5 linked regions of the Mus musculus genome follow. The main gene of each other region encodes a partner of the protein of the gene in region 2 in a complex. Links are inferred from orthologs where the notes say so. Each region holds a gene or a part of one and is shown on either strand. Other genes may lie near its edges.

Region 1 (4,249 bases), on a different chromosome or scaffold from region 2:
GGTAGATAAATTTTTAACCCTCGCCTTCTAGTATAAGGTCAATACTGCCAATTTCATCTGTGACAATAGCACTTGGAGTCATACCATTGCCTCCATTATTGATCTGATCCTCCTCAATCCTCCTTTTGACAATCCTAAAATGATTGAAATGTGCTCCACAATCCTTAATCCAAAGCATTCTTAATCCATCTCTTCAGATATGTCTACAGAAAGACACATGAAAAGCAAGATAAACATAAGAACTTCCCCCAAGTAAGATAACCACAAACACCCCCAACATCCCATTTCACACAAACCAGAGCAGAATAGACATTTACATAATATCACAGTCTGAAGAGCATGGAAATTAACTAAATTTAAACAATCCTGTCTATGACATCACTTAAAATACAAGTTACCAAAGACATGAGGGGAATGTAGATGTTAGGAGCAAGGGGATATTACACAAGAATGCAATTCAACACTTTAGCCCATTCTGAACAAAACAGCTTGAATTAAAAAAATGAAAAGATTGTACTGAGTAAAGGAAAACTGTATACAACATGGGTTCTACAAAAAGTGTCACCAATCATCTTATGTACGAGAGCGAGATCTGCTATGACGGGGAGAATAGCGTGGTGATCCTCTGCTTCTCCTTGGGGAGTAACTGCGACTCCTGCTGTTGCTTCTGCTACGGCTTCTGCTACGACTACGGCTTCGAGATCGAGATCTTCCATAACTTGGACTTCTGGGCCCATCAACTTTAACCCGGATGTAGGCAGTTTCTCCCTATTGGATAGACAGAACTTTCCATTGAAAGATCTAAGCTTTCACCTGTCTTCAGACAAGCTGAACGAATACAAAGACAGATCAGGGCTCTGGTAATTTACGTGAACACCCTTGCCTGTATCCTTACCTTCAAATTCCACTGTTAAGAAAACTGTATCCAATTCTGGCCAAAAAAAAGAATAAGTGTATAACCTACCTCGTGAGATCTAAACTTAGTGTTATCCAGTTTTCGAACTGCATACGTCATATCTTCTTTCCGTACAAACTCCACGACACCAGTGCCATCTCGGTAAACATCAGCGTAACATACATCACCTGCCTCACGCATGTGATCCTTTAAGTCCTGCCAGCTTCCACTCGGAGGCAGTCCTGAAAAAGCGATTCCCCCTAATTTAATACTACTCATCCTGTCCCACGGCAAACGTGTAAAGTACATTCGAACAAGGATTATTTTAAAATACTTAATGATTGTACTTAAGTGTTTCCAGGTAAAGAGCTGGTAAGAGTCAGATCCAGAGTCCAAATTTATTTGTAAAGGATCTTCATAGGCTAGTACTGCAACCTAATTTGGGTAAATCACCACCACAGTAATCTTTATTTACTAAATTCATCCCAAAGACCGAAGTAGTCCAAGACCCCGTGTGTAAAACAAAACAAAAACAACAATAACAAAAACCTTGCAGTACTCAAAGCAGTCATGCGGGAAAAAGATTTTAACCCGCACGAAGTCAACTCACCAGAGACAACCACTCTGTTCTCGGACCGCCTGGACGGCGGGCCATAGCGGCCTCTCGGGGCGCCGCCGCCTCCACCCCCGCCGCCGCCTCGGCCGGTCCCGCGGCCGCTTCGGGGAAACTCTACCCGCAGCCGGTAGCCGTCGTAGTCGTAGCCGTCGCGACCGTACACCGCATCTTCCGCGTCTCTGCGTGTGATCACAGAAAGCGAAAGGGGGGGGTGATGAGGGGAGGGAGCCGCCGGACCCAGCTCGTTCGCCCGCTCCGGGGGTGAAAAGCCGCGGCCACAGCGCACATGCGCACCCACGGGGCCACACGGAGCCCCACATGCGCCGCATAATAGGGCCGGCCCTTCCCCCACCCAGCACCACGCCGGGCAGAGGCTCCCGACCACCTCGCCGGCCCTCAGCGCCTCGGTTTCCCGCTCCGGGGGCTGCGCATGGGCTCGGGGGGTAGGGGGGACGTCCGAGGCGGCCGGCCACCGGAGACAACGCGCCGCCTCTCGGCTCTCCTGACTCGACTCCTGCAGGGGCGATAGCGCCTCGGAGCCCCTCCTCTCCCCCCATTATGTTCCAAGGCCTCCGAGCCTTCCCCAACTCCTCCACGCTATCTCCTCAAGGCCGCGCACGCCCCACGCTGCCTCACCGCGGGTCCTCGAACTCAACGAAGGCGAAGGGCGGTCCCCCGCGGCGGTTCTTCAGGTCGATGTCGCGGATGGCGCCGTATTTGTAAAACACGTCCTCGATGTCCTTGGTTCGGATATCCGGAGGTAGGTTACCCACGTAGATGCGGCAGTCGTTGTTCCCCGCCGGGCCACGGATCACACCACCTCCCGACATGGCGGCGGCGGCGACGACGAAAAGCGCGGACTCGGGGGGGGGGAAGGAAAAAAAAAAAAAGAGGCCTTCCTACCAAGCCTAGCGTACGGCAGAGCGAGCCCTCAGCGGCACCACGTCTCCCGCGGCCGCTCCAAAATGGCGCCTTTATCAGCTCGGCGCACTGATACCGGGGGGGAGGGGGAGGAAGAGAAGCCGGAGGAAGCGGCTCGTCCCTCCCAGTGCGCAGGCGCACGCCTCTAACGGGTGCTGAGAAGCACGCTCGCGCACGCGCGACGTCACCCTCCGCACGGAGGGGAAAAAGTCCCTCGCGTCCTGGCGGGTTGACTGGCTGCTGGAACGTCCAGGCGTTTAGTAAAAATCACATGCTCTGGTTAAAGCGGTTATTATTAATCCCCACTGAGTCCAGAATCGTCGGCCACCTCGGGGGTAGACCCTCTCTGAAAGCAGCTCGGCGCTCTAAAAAGATTGGGTGAAACCTATCTTGCAAGCGTGTCCCACCATGCTCCGCGGTGGTAACGGCCTTTGGCGGGAAAGGCGCCGCGGGGCGGAGATAGATGACGCTGAGCTGTTGCTCCGGAAACCTGGGCATCTTCTGCACTTCGGTGCCGCCGGCGGGAGTTGCAGGTGATTTCATTTAAAAGCCGAAGCGGAGCAGTGTGGCTTCTGCCTCTGGGAACCTGCGGTGGGCTGCATCTTAGTTAAAGTGTCTAGACGGATCCTCCATATCTATCTAAATGAAAACTGTGCCTTGAGTTTTCCTCTTCCTCCTTTCTAAGGATGAAAAAGGAAGAGTGATAAAACAGTTTAACTGCAGAGCCGAGATCCCGGTTCTGTGCTGGTCTAGGGAGATTATTTATTTATTTGTTTATTTTGCCAAGATTATCTGCAAAAGGATTCTTGCATTGGATACCACAATTTTGCTTCTTTGTTTTGTAATAACGGGAATAGAAGAGCCTTACGTGTGAAATCATACGGCCTTGTAGTGTTGTTAATGAACTCGAATTATAATAAAAGCAAACCAATCTGGACTTAAGCTTGTGTGCCTGAAATCCTATCACTCCGGAAGCTGAGGCAAGGAGGGTCCAGCCTACCCTGTTATACACAGTTCTAGTAAAGGTTATCCCGGAGCCAGGCAGTGGTGGCGCATGCCTTTAATCCCAGCGCTCGGGAGGCAGAGGCAGGCGGATTTCAGAGTTCGAGGCCAGCCTGGTCTACTGAGTGAGTTCCAGGACAGCCAGGGCTATACAGAGAAGCCCTGTCTCGAAAAACCAAAGGGGAGGCGGGGGGAAAGGTTAGCCCGGGACATTCAGGGAAACCCTTTCTATTAAAAATATTGAAAAACAAAACGTTTTCTTGGTGTTGTTTTTGTTTTGGGGTTGTTTTGTTTGAGACACGATTTCTCTGTGTACCCCTGGCTGTCCTGGAGTTCCTGCCTTCTGAGTGCTGGGATCAAAGTCACTACCTCCCAGCTAAAACCAGAGCCTTTCATGATTGGATAGAGACAGCCAGGCGTAGTGGTAAATGCCTCTTGAAGTTTTTGGGAAGCGGAATTTCAGGGTTCAAGGCCAGCCAGAGCTGTGTCGACCCTATCACTAATAAATATGCTAAGTCGGATCCCCACAGGTTCTAAGGGTGATTCTTTATACTGTAATTTTTAGTTTTTAATTTTTATGTTATGCATATTGTGTCTTGGGGTGGTGGGTCATGCCATGGCCCATGTGTGAAAGTCAGAAAATAAGGTGCAGTTCACCACTCATGCCATGTGAGCCCCCGAGATGAAACGTCAGGCTTGGGAGGAGCACCTTAACCAGATGAGTCACTGAGTCATTGCTGCCCCTGGATGTTATCATTTATTTACAACAGTCCAAGGATGTGGGGCTGCTTAAAATGAAACCATTAAATATTAAG
Region 2 (4,094 bases):
TAACCCTTTGAACATTCTGCTGAACTGGTCTACAGGCTCTGGGGTCACCCACCTGGCCAAAGACCACCGGGTGCTTTGCCAGGCTCCAGTTCTCCCACGAGGATGGTCTGAGCCTACCCTTGCCATAACCTGCCTGCCAGGCACACACACTGGGTTTCTCCACAGAGACACTGCCACTACCTGCCTGTACCCCACAGACCTACTCAGACTCTGGGAAGGGTCTGCAGCCATGTTATAGCGCCATGCCACTGACGTAACCATGGGGCTTAAGACTGGGGTACAAGCTTAAACACCAGACCAGCAAGCTATGGGCCAGCAAAGGCTGACTATGTGGAGAGTTCCCACAGGTACAAGCTGAGTCAGGCCAGACTGAGCATGAGAGGCAGGTAATTTAGGATCACATACGCCCACCCTGGATCAAGATGGCCTGCCTAAGTAAGAGCTTGCTCGGTGCTGACTGTATTGTACCGCAGCAGGCTGTAGTCTTGCATGGGTCGCCTTGGGCTCTGCTCTGTACGCATAGGTAGGACTGAAAATGCAAGTAGCTGGGAACGTGCCCTTCCAGTAATCACAGATACAGAGAGCCCTTCAGCCAACAGGCAGGGAAATTCATTCTGCTCAATGACGAGTACCTGCCCCAGCCAAACCATCCCTCCTTACCCATGACAAGAACGCACTGACTGTTCCTATGAACACTGATGTGTTCATACACGTGGACACAGCTCATGTCTGGACTGCCCTGCAAAACCATTTCCATCTACCAGTGCCCTTCTGGGTCTAGGTGTCACTATCCCATGACTACGTGGCCCTCAGATCTCCCTCAGAGCTCAAGAAATCTCTACCTCCTCCCCAACTGTGCATCCTGACAACCAGCCAAGAAGGAGCAGAGCCCTGGCTTTCCAGCTAGGCATGTGTTGGAGCTCCAGGCTCCTGTGGTGTGAAGGGAGCTCAGCCTGAACCCCTGTGCTGCACAAAGAAGGATGGGGTACGTCGTCGCCCTGCTCCTGTGGAAGCCATGCAGAGGGTGCCTGGGACAAGAAAAGGCGACCTGGAAGGGGAGGGGAGGGAGAGAATGAATGTCGGGAGCCACAGAGCACAGACTGAGCGGGGAGGAGTGTAGCAGCTGGGACATGGGAGAGCCTTGGTCACCAGCGTCTGTGCAGACAAGTGCTGAGGATGGCACATCTAAGAGGCCCCAAGTGGGCACTGGCTTGGCCGTGCTCGGAAGCACCTCTGTCATCATGCCAAGTTTTTCCTGCCTGACCCCAAATGGAAAGTGGTCATAGACAACAAGAAGCATCAAATACCTCAGATGACACAAACTTGTAGGTTCAGGCCTTTTCAGATAGCTAATATCTCTCTAGACCACCTGTTTCTGAAGCAAACTTAACCTCAGAACACAGGGACCAACTTCAACATCCTGGTATATCCTCAAGATCCTGAGACACTCCCCAAAGCAGGCAACACTTGCTCTGGATAGACTACCCGGGTCCTGGACCAAAAGAGAGGTAGAAGGACTGGGGATCCCAGTGTGGAATTACAGGCACTCAATGCATAGCTGGTCCTACTTAGGGAAAAGATATTCCCAAAGACAATTTGGGTATGGCTCCATCCCTTAGCTTTATAAAAGTAAGCATGTGTTTTGCATTTCGGATTGTTAGCCCACATTAAGAGTCTAGCCTAAGAGTTAACACAAACAGAAGCATTTTCTTTCTTTTCCATCATTTCTAAATGTCTGAATCCTCAGAGACAGTCCCCTAGTACCTTAGACACTGATACCTGACACTGAAACAAATAGTTAAATATTGAATATAAGTAGCATTTAATTATTTAAAAATTAAAAGGGGAAAGCCATGGTATCCAGGCCTCCTGAAGCAGAGCAACTCCAGACTTGCATATTCTCCAGGGCTGGTGTCCCACTGAGGAATGTAGGGGTATCTAGGGAGGAGATTCAAGCAGGGACACCAGACAAGGGATTCCCAGCAGCGCCTCCTCTCTCTTTTGTGAGGCCTTAGGAGCATCGTCGCTGCGTAGGGACATTCCCTTGGCATCGCCAAGACCCTGCGCTCACCAACAGCCGTACCACCCCGGGAAGTTCCCCAGCCTCGCCGCCCGAGTCCTGGTAAAGTTTCCATAGCCGTCGGGTCCCTGCTTGCAGGCTCTGCAGTGGCTCGCGGAGGGCAAAGCTGTGGGAGCTGGGTCCAGTTCATCCCGGAGGCTGAACAGCCCGGAGGCTGAAGCCGGCGCCGTAGCCAGGTTGGACAGAGCCCTGAGGTCATGCACAAAGGGACCCGCCCCCAACCACCCGGGTCTCTGGGGACCCGTCGTGTGCTAGAGCGCGGGTGAGCAGAAGAACCAGCTTCCGAGCCCCACCCAGACCTAAAGTCCGAGCCCAGGACCCTGTCCCTATCTTAGTCCGCATCTCAGTCTAGACACTATACCAGCTCGCTCCCCCAGGACCTACCCCTAATCCTGGCCGGGGCCCGAGTGTCCAGCCCCAGGCCCACAGCCGGACCCCGCCCACCCGGCCGAGCTCACCTGGCGCGCGGCGTGGGCGGCTCCGCAGCGCGGCCTCCGCCCCCAAGACAGGCGTCCCCAGGTCCCCCGGTGCGCGGGGAGCGGCCTCTCCAGCGCCCAGCACCGAAAGTGGCTCCCGGGGCCACAACTTGTGCTTGTGAGGAGGTGAGGGGGGGAACACTCCTCCTCCCCTACTGGAGCAGCCAGCAAGCAGGCTAGCCCTCCTACCCCTCCCGCTGCCCGTGCGCAAAGCGGACCTGGCCGGAGACGAGGCCTCCGCCCCGCCCCATCCAACTGCGAATTTTCCCATTGGTAGAGAGACGCGCCCCGCAACCCGCACCGATTGGATGGATGTGCAGAGATTGCGGCTTGCTGTTGGGTTCCTGGTATTGTCAGTCTTAGCCCAGGTCGGCCCCCTAGCAGAGCAGGCCCTGACACCTGCCCGGAATGCTGTGGCTGCAGCAGCTGCAGGAGGCTCGGAGTTGCCCCCTCCCGGCCATCTTCAGAGGAGTTCTGGGGATAGTAGGCCCTGAGCTGGAACTTGCAGGGCAGGCGGTCACTCCCGGATTCCAGCAGCGTTGTCTCCATCTCCACCCCAAGTTCCCAGGTATCCTGCTGTTAACCGGACATTGAGCGTCGATTCCTTTCTATTGGCATAGAATGGTATTTATCTTACACTCCGCAAGTGTAAAGATAAATCCCATTTTACAGATAGAAAATTGAGGCTTTAGGCAACCAGGGCGTGAACCCAGTCGTTGGACTTCCAGCCTTGGGGGCTCTCTCACTGTCCCCATAACCCCTGCAGCAAGGACGAACAAGGTCAGCTAGGCTGGTACAAAGTGGGGATGGTTGCAGTGATTTTGAGGGCAAAAGCAGACTCTAGAAAAACTAGAGCTTTTTTTCTTCTATGAAGCCTGTATTTACAGAGCCTTTGGGCACTCCCTACAGCTGCATGAGACTGCTCTTTCCCCGGGGCAATGAAAAGCGTCCTCTTCCCGGGAAAGGGGAATTATGTGTTTATCTCTTCCCCACTACACCCTGGTGTCCCGATTTCCTCTGCCCTGCTTTGAGTCTTGGAGAAATATCAAGGAGCTTTATCCACTGCCTGAAAAGATAAACACATATTTCCCTACTAGGTAAAGCACACCAAACACATCTCTGCAGTGACATAAGGCAGTGGAGGGGACCCACGGGGGATGCTGTAACATAAACAGGAGATGGAAGTGCAGACTGTGGAAATGAATCTGGCCTGTGCTTGCTCAGAAGCCTCTTATCCTGAGTGCACTGGAAATGAGCAACTCTTCTGGGCTGTCGGTGTTTCCCAAGGCCCCTTACAGATAGTGCTAATGGAGGCCAGGGTGTGTGTGTGTGTGTGCGTTTGTGTGTGTAGGGGGTCTACCCAGATGGTCATATTTCACCCACCTATGCTGAGTCCAGTGTGCTCACCCAATAAGGGTTGCTTGGTGAAGACAAAGAAAGTAAATGCCTGGAGCAGGAGCTCACTTCTGGGTCGCCTACAATACAAATTGATACCAGGAGCTTTTCAGAGTCAAGGCAGTTGCTACTAATCCGTTGGT
Region 3 (4,085 bases), on a different chromosome or scaffold from region 2:
CCAAGGTCACTGGAAGGCAAAACAGCACTGCATTAGAAACCAACAGTGCGCGCACACACAGGAAAATGACAGATACTCCAGAACAGCTCAGCCTTACATTTTTACCAAGTCACCTTCCTTGAGTATATAGTCCTGGTCACTCTTCAAAGGGGAGAAGTGACACACACAGTTATTTACGGAAATGCTGGTAGGAAAGGCAATACCTGTAAAAAGAACCATCAACCTTACTGCCTTGTTCTCACCTGGGAACACTTCCTGCCCTTTAGAAAAGTTGAAGGGGACTGGTTTTCGGTTTAGTCTGGGAAGGAAACTGTACCCATCCCACTTGCTACTTAGATTTTCAAATAGCTTAACCAGGGATTTGGGGGGGTGGGGTGTGTTTGTGGGAGGGCAACTAGGTGGCTGGGTTCAAATAGGAGAAATCAAGAGGGAGGGTTTTACCCTTCTTACCTTTCTTCATCTCCTTTTCCTTCTTGAAGATCTTCCCTGTCTCTTCCATAATCATGGCATCACCTTTCTCACACAAGCTCAGCACAGACACACCTGAGCTGGAAGCCTCCACCAAAGATCGAAGCACCCCTGGGAACAGGAGAAACCCATCAGCCCTGCATGCGTTCATCATGTGACCAGACCACAAACTGAATTTCGTTTCTCATACTCCCAACACTGTTCATTGTCCTAAGGTAGAGAGAGGAAAGGTTTATGTCCTGGAATAATCTACCCATGTTTAACGTCTGCGTTTTTGTTTTTGAGAAATACCCCTGACTGTCCTAGAATTCAGCGTAGACCTGCCTGCCTCTGTCTCCCCACACATGTGCTGGCACTGAAGGTGAGCCCACCACACCCTGCTCTACTTCCTACCTTCCCTTCCAAAAATAAGGTCAGCACCAGCTTCTCTCCTCTCCATGATTTGACACTTAGGCCTTAGGCCTCACACATCCCAAAGATGCTGTGGCAACCCACTCCACACACACAAACAGACCAAAAGACATTTATAGGCGTCGGGGACAATGGGGAGGTAGAGAACTGCTGAGTCAAAGTTGAAGCATTGTTAAATGTTACCTCCGTCCCTCCCCAGACACAAAGTAGTAATCATAATTTATGTGGCTGTATTTCCCCATGTCTAAGTATATAAGCCCAGGGGAATTAACCTAAGGTCTTAAAGATTCAGAGGGCTAAAACTTTACTTCCAGTATATCAAGATCACATGTAACCAGTTTCAAAACTATTATCTGAAGTTGCCTGTGGGGTTGGAGATTCTGTCTGATTCAAACCAACAGCAAATACTAAAACATCACCCCAAATAAGGTTATCATTTTGTGTATGTCTTTATGATCATGGGAATTCTAGGTTTGATGATTTCTTATGTGTTTTATTCTCTGGATTCCAGAGGAACTAAGATGTAACCAAAGACACCCTAAATACCTTCTTCCAAGTATTTTGTCAAGTCCATTCTAAAGGCCTAAGGCAGTTTTTTTTTTTTCCTCAAGACAGGGTTTCTCTGAAACTCAGAAATCCGCCTGCCTCTGCTCCCCAAGTGCTGGGATTAAAGGCGTGAGCCACCACTGCCAAGTCTAAGACAGTTTTTATCAAGTGAATTTTAATTTTTAAAATGTTAAAGAGCCGGGCATGGTTACACACACCTTTAATCCCAGCACTCTGGAACGCTGAGGTGGGCGGATCTCTCAGGCCAGCCTGGTCTAAGGGAGTACCAGGACAGCCAAAGCTACACAGAAAGCCCCAAAAATAAGGGGGTAAGGGAGGGAAAGAACTGGAAAGAGAAAACAGTAAAGTTATCTGTCCAAGTGGCAGACAACTGTTAGGAGAGTAAAGATCATTTAAGAAATGCTTATAATCCTAAAATCCGTGTCTCTCTCCACTTCTTTTCAGTATTATAGACAGGCTTGCCCAGCTGTCTAAGCAGAACCTCAAAACACTGTAGAGGCTCTAGGAACAAATATTAAAGGCCGCCTTCAAAAACCGGAGCAGTGGTCATACAGGAAAGCCAGGTTGTTTTAGAAGCTCCAGAAGTGTCTTCCAACGGCCCCTCGAGCTAGGTCAAGGGGCGAAGGGGGTCCCCACTAAGAAGACCTGAAGTAAAGACTTTAGCAAAGCACGTGGTGGGGAAGCACGGTAGGAGAGGAAGTGGGGAGCCATCGATCCGCACACAGGGACCTGGCAACACGTGCCGGCTCAGCTCCCGCGGGTCAAGAGCCGCGACTGGCAGAGGGGCGCTTCCGTCGCCAACAGCTGGCCGCTTCCTTTTCGAGGTGGCCTCACTGCTGCCAGTCGGGAGCATAGATCCGGACAGACCGAAGGGTATGGGCAGAAGACGACGCGCCTTGCCTCCTTACCAACCGCCCAGGGTCGGAGCATGCCTGGGCCCCTCTCTGTACTCCTCGCGGTCGCCGGCCCGCACCTCCACTCTCCAGCCCAGGCATGGCTGCTCAGTCCCCAGGGCGACACCAGATCTCCCCACCACGTCGCCCCCGGCAGTCGGCACGCGCCCCTCGGTGGCTCACTCGGCAAGACCCAGACGCCACAGCCCTCCGGAGAGAGCCCCAAACCTCTCCCTCTCAGCCTCGACTCCAAGACCCCCGAGGCCGCACTCACGGTTGGCGATGTCGCCCCCCATCTTATACTTGGTCACGACCAGGTCCTCGGCGATAGTTTGCTCCTGCTGCTCGTCTTCGCCCGACATCTTCCTACTGCTACTACTGCAGCTTCACTTTCCCTGAGCTGCGGCCTCCGTCTCCCTTCCCAGCCACAGGCTGTAGCTAGAGTCTCTTCGATCCGCGAGGAAAGCGCGAGCAAGCAAGGGAGCGGGAGGGCGGGCAGAGAGAGCGAGAAGCTGCGAGCGCGCGGGCTGAGGCGCAGGGCACACTGGGACAATGAGTCCTGCTGTCGGCCAGTTCCCAGCCGCCCTCGCGGGCTCTAGAACTACAATTCCCAGCCTGCTCCTCGCGCCCGTCCGCCAGGCCCTGGGAGGACTTGCCTTCCCAAGTCTGCGCACGCCGGAATCGCCGGGCACGCTGGGAAGAGTCTGGCCCCGGCGGGAAGGCGGAGCCGTTGGGGAGCTTGAGGGAAAGCGTGGTCTCTCCGGGAAAAACCTCTCATTCACGCCGACCCTGAGCTCGTAACAGCGAGGGGCGGGCCAAGCGGGGAGGGGTGGAGCTACAGGGAGAAAAGGGTTGAGAGGCCGCTGGGCAGGGTGGAACAGGGTGGAGCCTGGAGCCATAGGACTAGGGTCAGTGGGTGTGTGTGTACGTTTTGGGCGGTTGTCCCGTGCGCGTAGCCTTGGATTCCCCTGTCGGCCGGCGCGACCGGCCTGGCTGGTCAAATCCTCCAGTGCTGGGATAACCTCTGGGAGGGGCTGAGCGGAGGTGGAAGTCCTAGGGTGCTGGAAGCGAGCACTAACTGGACAGTCTGGGTGATTATACATGTACCATGGCCTGCTAATAGAAAAAGGCCAGACTTCCTACTAGACTAGAATAAAATAGCACTATTGTTCCAGCCGTGGTTTTTGATGGGGGCCATCTAAGGGAAACGTTTATGAGGGATTTGGTCACTCTTAAGAGTTCTGAATCGCCGGGATGAGGTGGCGCACGCAAAGGCAGGCAGATTTCTGAGTTGGAGGCCAGCCTGGTCTACAGAGTGAGTTCCAGGACAGCCAGGGCTATATGGAGAAACCCTGTCTCGAACAAAAAAAAAAAAGTTCTGCATCATTTCAAGTTTTCAGTACCCAACCTGTGTAGGAAAAAATAAAAACAACCCAAGGCTTGCTTGAGCTTTTTCATTTTCTCCCAACAATCAGGGGGTTAGGGTTTTGTTCCTAATTGTTTACACTTTTGTTCCTTTGTAGGGATCCCCAGTAAAAAACCCTTTAGTAGAAAGGACTAGAAATGCAAAGCCGGGCACTGGTGGTGCACGCCTTTAATCCCAGCATTTGAGAGGCAGAAGTAGTCGGATTTCTGAGTTCGAGGCCAGCCCGGTCTACAGAGTGAGTTCCAGGACAGCCAGGGCTACACAGAGAAACCCTGTCTCGAAAAAACAAACAAAAGAAAAAGACTAGAATGCAAACAGGG
Region 4 (4,049 bases), on a different chromosome or scaffold from region 2:
AGATAAGTTCTGCCTTAGTCCAAACAAAGCAAGGGGAAAGAGAGACAGTCTGTGGATAGATACCCCACAAAAATTCGGATCCAAGAAAGGATCTTGACTGCTCTATATAGACAGGATGCGGGTGTCCCAGGCTCGACAAAGAGTTCCTATCTCATCCCAAGTCTCAGTTCCACGTCTGGAAACCGCAAGAGGTTTCGAGGCTGAGACCCTAAATTCATAGAACCCCCCCCCCCACCGCGCGCGCGACTGCAACTAGTGTCCGACAGTCCCGAGCCTCCGCAGCGGCGCAGACGCGGTTCAGATTCAGCCCAAGGTCCGCGGAATGCTGCAGTACAAAACCACCAGGGCTCCAGGCCGAGACTCACCAGCCTCTGAGCTGGCCATACTGCCAGGAGAGGTCGCGGCCGGACTCCAAGACGAGAGCGCGGGCGACGGTGTCCCAGAAGGGTCGAACTCGGTCGAGCCGACGGGAGGAGGAGGGGGCAGACACTAGCGAGCGGGGAAGGAGGGGTGGAAGAGGGAGGGACGTTAAAACGGCTTCTCGACGCTGATTGGACAGCAGAGGAGCACTTCCTCGCAGCACGCGCTGAGGCGGCAGTTTGCGGGCTCCAGATACCATTCCCCGCGGTCAAGATCCCGCTTACGGGTTCTCAGATCGGCGGGCAGGGCAGCCAGGTCACCCAGCAGCCCGGCCGATCTCCCCGGGGGCGTTGGAGCCGCGCTTCCGGTGAGTTGGTGGTTTGGTGTTCCTCCGCCGAGAGACCAAGCGAGGAAGTAGTGCGATCCGCCTTGCCCTGGGTCCGATCACGTGATGAGGCCAAGCTCCGCCTCCCTGGTCTCCTTCGGTTATGGGCGTGGGGGGAGTCTGTGGAGACGTAAACATCTTCAAGTAGAGTCGGTGGAATGGCTGGCGCTGGCCATTTTAAGGACCGTCTGGCCACGGGGAAGCAGCTTGTCTGAGGTGTAGCGAGACGAGAGACGGCGGTGTCGCCAAAAGGGCGTCGGGGCGAGGCATTCTAGTGGTGTCACCCAGTCGTGAAGCGAGTAATAAACGGGCGCCGGGGAGGGAGCGCCCGCCCGCGGAGGGGGAGGGGCGAGAACATGGCGGATTCCGGAACCCGGGCGGGCGGGCGTTGAGGGCCTCCGAGCCAGGGGGGCGGGGTGATTAGGTCATAGAGCGGCTCCCAGCGTGCTTTGCGGCGAGGAGGCGGTCCAGACTATAAAAGCGGCTGCCGGGACGCAGCCGGCACCTCATTCATTTCCATCGGTCCTTGCCCTCGCAGCTCCGGCCCTCGACACCACCGGCCCCTCCGCTGGTGACGCCCCCGCAGAGGCTTCGCCGTCGCCGAGGCCTTCTCTCCGCGACTCGTCGCCGCAGGATTCTACTTTCACTGGGTTCCGCCCGCACACCGCCACCATTGACGCCATGTCGAGTTATTCTAGTGACCGAGACCGCGGCCGGGATCGAGGGTGAGTGTGACAAGAGACCTGTCAGGCCGGGTGGGGGATGGGAGAGCGGCGCGGCCGAAGGCTCGCCTTCCCAACCGACCTTTAGATTTTTTTTTTTCCCTTCCTGAAAGGAGGCCTGGCTTTTGTCACACGTCCGGTTAAAAGCCGTTAAAGGCTACGCTTCGGGTAATGGCGTTCAACCTTTTTTTTTTTTTTTTTTTTTTTTTTTTTGGTCCGGGAGGGTGGGCCGGGACCCGGGGCGGCCCGGCGACCTCGCGGCTGTTGAGGGAAACCCGGAGGAGTGTTTTCGGTCGGGAAGCGCCGCGCCTTTGAGGCGGTTCCCGGCGTCGTTTGCGCAATCTTTCGTTGGGTTGTTTTTTGAGGGGGGCCCCCCCTTCCGGTATCCCCGGGGGAAAGAAGGGGCGCTTTCGAGGTCCCCTGTGCCCCGTTGGGTGGCCTACGCCGGCGGATTCGGCCATGTGGCGGAGCCGCAGCCACAAAATGCCGGCCTCGGACATGGCGGCGGCGCCTTTGTTACCCCGCCCGGCGGAGGAGCTCAAAATGGCAGCGGCGAGAAAATGTGGCGCAGAGAGAAATGCGAGACAAAGAAGGAAGCGCCGCCCCAGCGGGAACGCCGCCCGGGCCGGGACTCCTCCCCCGGTTGCTTTCGGCTCCTCCTCTTTTTCTCCCTCGCGTTATATAATTTTGTTACCTTGGTTTGCAGCCGTTCGCGGCGTTTCCCTAGACTCGGCTCGCTGGCGCCTGTTCCCCTTTCTACCCTGTCCGCCGTGCTAGCCTCGTTCAGCTGCTCACATTGCCTTTGCGGCCCCGTTATTTCTTTAAGATTAGGTCCTTTGATGAAAACGGGCAAAAATAACCTTCCTAAGCTCCTCCCTTCTTGCCCAGCTCCTAGACGCTAATGCCTAAGCTCTGTGGGGAGAGAAGATGGAGGCTCTAACTCTTGTCCTTGTAATCTGGTCAGATGTTTGGGCTGTTTGCCACCTGATAAACCCACGATGTTTATTTGGCCTCAGTAGAGTGTGCTTGGGACTTCAGAAAAGAAACGCTGCCAGTTGTGGCTGTCCTTAGAATGACAGTTGGGAAGGATTCCAGAAGCACACTTTGGCTCTATCAAAAGGCAGCAGATGAAATGTGAGGGCAAACCTGTTCATGCAGTATCTTTCACAATGTGCCCAACTTTTGTTTTGTGTGTGTGTAGGTTTGGTGCACCTCGATTTGGAGGGAGTAGAACAGGACCCCTCTCTGGAAAGAAGTTTGGAAATCCTGGGGAGAAACTAGTTAAAAAGAAGTGGAATCTTGATGAGCTGCCCAAATTTGAGAAGAATTTTTATCAAGAACACCCTGATTTGGCAAGGCGCACCGCAGTGAGTTTATAAATGTGGCTTCTTCATGCTGTAACTCAGTAACTGCTTCTAGTCAATTAGATGGAAATGTAATAGGTGCCTTGCAAATGGAGAGTTGCTTGTGGTGCACTTCCATTGAATTTTTCTTGTGATATATGGTGCCCTATTTTAATCCTGTCACTGGGGAAACAGGTTTAGCAGTCTATTGGGCTTCATAGAGACTCAATTTTCATTTAAATAAGTATTATAAATTAATTATTAATTTTTGTTGCCAAGTAGAGTTCTTATTTATGGGTCCAGATTTTTAGAAATAAGTATGTTTAAAAGTTTATTGAGCTATAGGGAGCATGGCAGAAGTCTGAGGCTGAGATAATTTGTTTTTCAGCAAGAGGTAGATACATACAGAAGAAGCAAGGAAATTACAGTTAGAGGTCACAACTGTCCAAAACCTGTTCTGAATTTTTATGAAGCAAACTTTCCTGGTAAGGACTAACTTTCATCTTTATCCTTTCATTTCCCCCCCCCCCCTTGCTTATAAATTTGTTTTTAAAATGGTATTGTTGGTTGCAGCGAATGTCATGGATGTGATTGCAAGGCAGAACTTTACTGAACCCACTGCTATTCAAGCTCAGGGCTGGCCAGTTGCTCTCAGTGGATTGGATATGGTTGGAGTAGCTCAGACTGGATCTGGGAAAACATTATCTGTAAGTCTAGGAAAACTTGATAAATTGTGGCAGAGGTGACCTTAGATATATAACTATTTTAATCCAATTTCTATTATTTTTACTCTTCAATAGTATTTGCTGCCTGCCATTGTACACATAAACCACCAGCCATTCCTAGAGAGAGGTGATGGGCCTATTGTAAGTATTATCTTAAGTTTCCCACCATATTTGCTAAAACTCCTTTGACTTTCATATAGGGAATATAGGGTTGCCAGTATAAACTAGCCACTTAAAATTAGTATCCAGCCCAGGCGTGGTGGCACACACCTTTAATCACAGCACTGGGGAGGCAGAGGCAGGTGGATTTCTGAGTTCCAGGACAGCCAGAGCTACACAAAGAAACCCTATCTCGGGGGGAAAAAATTAGTATCCAAAGACAGTTAGTTGGATCAGCCAATTATAGATACTTGTCATGAGCCTGATCAAGATCAACTACCACAAGGAGAGACCAACTTGCAAAAGTTGCCTTCTGGTTTCTCCATGTGCTTCCACACACAAAAATTTTATCCTG
Region 5 (3,382 bases), on a different chromosome or scaffold from region 2:
GTAACAACCCAGCCATGGTCACCCACAAAGTGTGACCCAGTAAGATCAGTGTGATTATAACCCCAGTGCAGTGTACAGCAGTGGCAGATCACTGGGACTTCCTGGCTGCCAGCCTAGTTGCAGGCTCAGTGAAAGACCCCATTACCACCAAGACAATAAGGCAGGGCATTTAGAAAAGGAGATCCAATATTGTTCTCTACCCTCTAGCAACACACAATCAAAATTTAGGCTATGAATATAGCTCTGTTGGTACAGTTCATGTCTTGTATGCAAGCAGCCCTGGGTTTGTTCTCCAGCACTGCATAAACTGGACAGTGACGTATGACTGCAATTCTAATCCTTAGGAAGTAGAGGCAGGAGGATCAAAACTTGAGTCATTCATAGCCTGGAATATTTGAGAAAAAAATTAAAATTTCAACAGCAGAGAACTTTAAAAGCCAGTTACTGTGTGTCCATATAATAGAACATGATTTTAAAAAAGAAAATCAAACTATGCAAGATTTTTCCAGTTTTTAAAAGGAAGATTTATTTAACAAGTTTCACTTAGTACAATACATCTAAATGGAATTCACAATACAAGGTAAGGTTTAAATCAAAGCCCCAGAATTCCATACAAATAACATGACCAAACTCCTAATGTATTGGTATCACATCTCAAAATTGTTCCGGATCTTTAAAAAAAAAAGTGAAAGTGTACACTCACGTGCCTTACAGGATATTAAACCAAAAAGCTAGAATTAACAAACATGCCAAATGTTGTCACTTTGAATCATAGACACAGCTCCTATATATATTTTTTTTTACAGAAAAGCATGTTTTTCAACATGCATCTGAAGTTTTCGATGTATTGTGGTATAAGAGCAACATTTAACGTAAGTGAAACTGCTTTAAACCTAAATATGCTTGCTGCTTAAGTACACTCCTACAACATAACTAACTTGAGGAAAGCTCAAAGGGGAGTTGACAGTTATGGTCAATACTGAACTTGTTATTACATCCTAGATGAATATTTTCAGTGTTCAAAATTGCTGAGCTTAAAGTTTGAAAACAATCTTAACTTTCACTTTACAGTAAGCATGAATCACAAGCTTGTAATGCGAAACTGTTAAAACTTAAATTTTTGTTCTTTTTTTTAAAAAAAAAAAAAGGAAAAAGAAGAAAGAAGCTGACCAATAGTGATCAGAAGCAGTTGTACTTCCCATTTACCAATCATACTGGATATAAAGACACCCTCCCTACTCTATCCAGTTCCTATAAAGATAGCTTTTATTCATGTAGATGTTATTGGATGGTCCCTTGCTTCCTAAGCAAGGTTTGACTGATAGTCACTTGAGTTTTCCTGAAGAACTTGGTCATATCCACTCATACTGCTCTGACCACCATAACCCCCTCCATAGCCACCACTCAGCTGCTGGCTGGCCGGACCTCCATAACTAGACTGGTTGGATAAACCCATCCCTCCCATCATCTGGCTACCGTAAGCACCACCACTTGCCCCTGCTGTAGAATTCAAAAAGAGCTCTACATAGCTATGATCATAAGCTCCTCCACTTGTCCCTGCGGTAGAATTCAAGAAGAGCTCCACATATCTGTGTTGCATATTTGCTTTATCTTTTGCCATAGCTGCCACAGCGTCTTCATGAGTAGCAAACTCAACATCTGCCTCACCAGTAACTCTTCCATCAGGTCCTATTTCAATGTGCACTCTCATGGGATTAAGAGGTGAGAAAAAATTGTAAATATCATTCTCGGTGGCTCTGTATGGTAACCCCCTCATATGTACACAGTGCCCCGTGGTGCTCTGGAAACTGGACCCACCATCTCCATATCTATGATCAGACATTCCTGAGAAACAGTAGTTTAGGTCTCTTCCAAATCTATCAGACCCAAAACCATACCCGTCATTATAACCTCCATAGTCATCATAGCCTCCATACCCTCCACCATAGGCACCCCGCCTCATTCTTTCAAACCCGGCTCCTCTGCCAATGCTATTATACCCTCTTCCAGCCCCTGGCCTATCGTAAGGACCCGGGCGCTGCATAGTCATGAGCTTTCTAGGTGGATCATAGTGGGTTCGGACTTCAGCTCGGCTACTCTTGAAGATTTCGATGTACCTATGCCCTATTCTTTCCTTGTGTTTCTTTAAGGCCTTCTCAGCTATCTCCTGTGAAGCAAACTGCACAAAAGCTTCCCCTGTGCTCCGCCCCTGAAAGTCCACTGGCAGTGTCATCCCATTTGGCACAATTTCCAACCCTGAAAAGAACTGAACAATTTCTTCCTTGCTACAGCCAAATGGGAGTCCTCTGAGTCGTACAAAACCATCATTGGCAGTATCAGGACTATTTGGACCTGTATGCTTTAACACCCAATCCATTTCAACACTGTTGGATTTGAATACTTCAACATATCTGTGTCCCATGGTTTCTCTGTCTTTCTTTAAAGCCAATTTCACTTCATCTTCAGATTCAAGTTCGACAAATGCTTCACCACTCGGTCTGCCTTCTCTGGTGTAGATGAAACGAACACCTGATGTGCCATTTTGGATTTTGCAATCAGAGAAGAAGCGCATCACTTCCTCGGCTGAGCAGGACCAGGGTAGGCCCCTGACCTTCACCACGAACCCCTCCCTGCCCTCTGTGCTCAGCATCATGGTGACTGATGGACTCTTGGTGGCAAGCTTGGCTCAATGCAAATTCAATGTGGCTTTAAAAAAATTAGAAAACTATTGTCATGAAAAAGTGTATATAATATAGTAAGAGAAACAAAGAAAACTATTATTTTACAAGTTCACATCAGTAAGTTTTTCAAAGGAGCCATATGAGCAAAGACTGCATAAAACTTTTAATCCATTCACTTAGCGAGTGCTTATACCATTTCTCTTATGTATCAGGTCTAATTAACAGTGGTTATTTCTGGGTAACAGTACTATAGGAATTTTTTTTTGTTTCCATGGATACTTTTTTCCTTTAGATAATTTCGAATATTCTAAATTTTCTGCACTGAGCCAATGTATTAACATCACAGAGAGAAAATTAAAACTAAATATAACAATGTACAACTATATCCCATTATAGAAAAATGAAAATATTCTTTAAATCAAAAGACAAACAAAACTCATGAGACAATACAACAAATCCATTAAATAGCCTAAAAATATAAAGAATGAATACAAGTCAATAAAATACAGAAGTACTAAAGCCTAAGAGATAAATGGAAGACATTAATATACATTTAAACAAGTTTTAGGAGCCAGCTTCAGTCCACAGTTCTGCCACGGACGAATCACAGTTCTATAGGAGAACTATGTGTCCTCAACAAAGTGCAGATACATAGACTACATAGAAGGCACGTTCATAGAAGGATTGGTTGATTACGTGTA

Evidence for each region.
Region 1: Arvcf (region 2) and Srsf1 share a complex: the UniProt entries of both Homo sapiens proteins name them as parts of the ribonucleoprotein complex. The link is inferred for Mus musculus from reciprocal best matches to the Homo sapiens genes ARVCF and SRSF1.
Region 3: Arvcf (region 2) and Pa2g4 share a complex: the UniProt entries of both Homo sapiens proteins name them as parts of the ribonucleoprotein complex. The link is inferred for Mus musculus from reciprocal best matches to the Homo sapiens genes ARVCF and PA2G4.
Region 4: Arvcf (region 2) and Ddx5 share a complex: the UniProt entries of both Homo sapiens proteins name them as parts of the ribonucleoprotein complex. The link is inferred for Mus musculus from reciprocal best matches to the Homo sapiens genes ARVCF and DDX5.
Region 5: Arvcf (region 2) and Hnrnph2 share a complex: the UniProt entries of both Homo sapiens proteins name them as parts of the ribonucleoprotein complex. The link is inferred for Mus musculus from reciprocal best matches to the Homo sapiens genes ARVCF and HNRNPH2.

The regions. Positions count from the first base shown.
Region 1 is NC_000077.6:88,045,931-88,050,179, reverse strand, and holds the start of Srsf1 (serine/arginine-rich splicing factor 1), read right to left. Parts: upstream 2,808-4,249; 5' UTR 2,342-2,807; coding exon 2,148-2,341; intron 1,691-2,147; coding exon 1,506-1,690; intron 1,138-1,505; coding exon 965-1,137; coding exon of another isoform or gene 911-964; exon of another isoform or gene 769-910; coding exon 574-768; 3' UTR 1-573. UniProt on the Homo sapiens protein: Plays a role in preventing exon skipping, ensuring the accuracy of splicing and regulating alternative splicing.
Region 2 is NC_000082.6:18,346,901-18,350,994, reverse strand, and holds the start of Arvcf (armadillo repeat protein deleted in velo-cardio-facial syndrome homolog), read right to left. Parts: upstream 2,814-4,094; 5' UTR 2,539-2,813; intron 1-2,538. UniProt on the Homo sapiens protein: Contributes to the regulation of alternative splicing of pre-mRNAs.
Region 3 is NC_000076.6:128,563,127-128,567,211, forward strand, and holds the start of Pa2g4 (proliferation-associated protein 2G4), read right to left. Parts: upstream 2,809-4,085; 5' UTR 2,702-2,808; coding exon 2,614-2,701; intron 580-2,613; coding exon 451-579; intron 204-450; coding exon 98-203; intron 10-97; coding exon 1-9. UniProt on the Homo sapiens protein: May play a role in a ERBB3-regulated signal transduction pathway. Seems be involved in growth regulation. Acts a corepressor of the androgen receptor (AR) and is regulated by the ERBB3 ligand neuregulin-1/heregulin (HRG).
Region 4 is NC_000077.6:106,785,694-106,789,742, reverse strand, and holds the start of Ddx5 (probable ATP-dependent RNA helicase DDX5), read left to right. Parts: upstream 1-1,248; 5' UTR 1,249-1,426; coding exon 1,427-1,470; intron 1,471-2,668; coding exon 2,669-2,834; intron 2,835-3,198; coding exon 3,199-3,295; intron 3,296-3,383; coding exon 3,384-3,517; intron 3,518-3,610; coding exon 3,611-3,676; intron 3,677-4,049. Other genes in the region: Cep95 (centrosomal protein of 95 kDa), read right to left, coding at 366-384. UniProt on the Homo sapiens protein: Involved in the alternative regulation of pre-mRNA splicing; its RNA helicase activity is necessary for increasing tau exon 10 inclusion and occurs in a RBM4-dependent manner. Binds to the tau pre-mRNA in the stem-loop region downstream of exon 10.
Region 5 is NC_000086.7:134,604,179-134,607,560, reverse strand, and holds the end of Hnrnph2 (heterogeneous nuclear ribonucleoprotein H2), read right to left. Parts: intron 2,707-3,382; 5' UTR 2,654-2,706; coding exon 1,304-2,653; 3' UTR 501-1,303; downstream 1-500. UniProt on the Homo sapiens protein: This protein is a component of the heterogeneous nuclear ribonucleoprotein (hnRNP) complexes which provide the substrate for the processing events that pre-mRNAs undergo before becoming functional, translatable mRNAs in the cytoplasm. Binds poly(RG).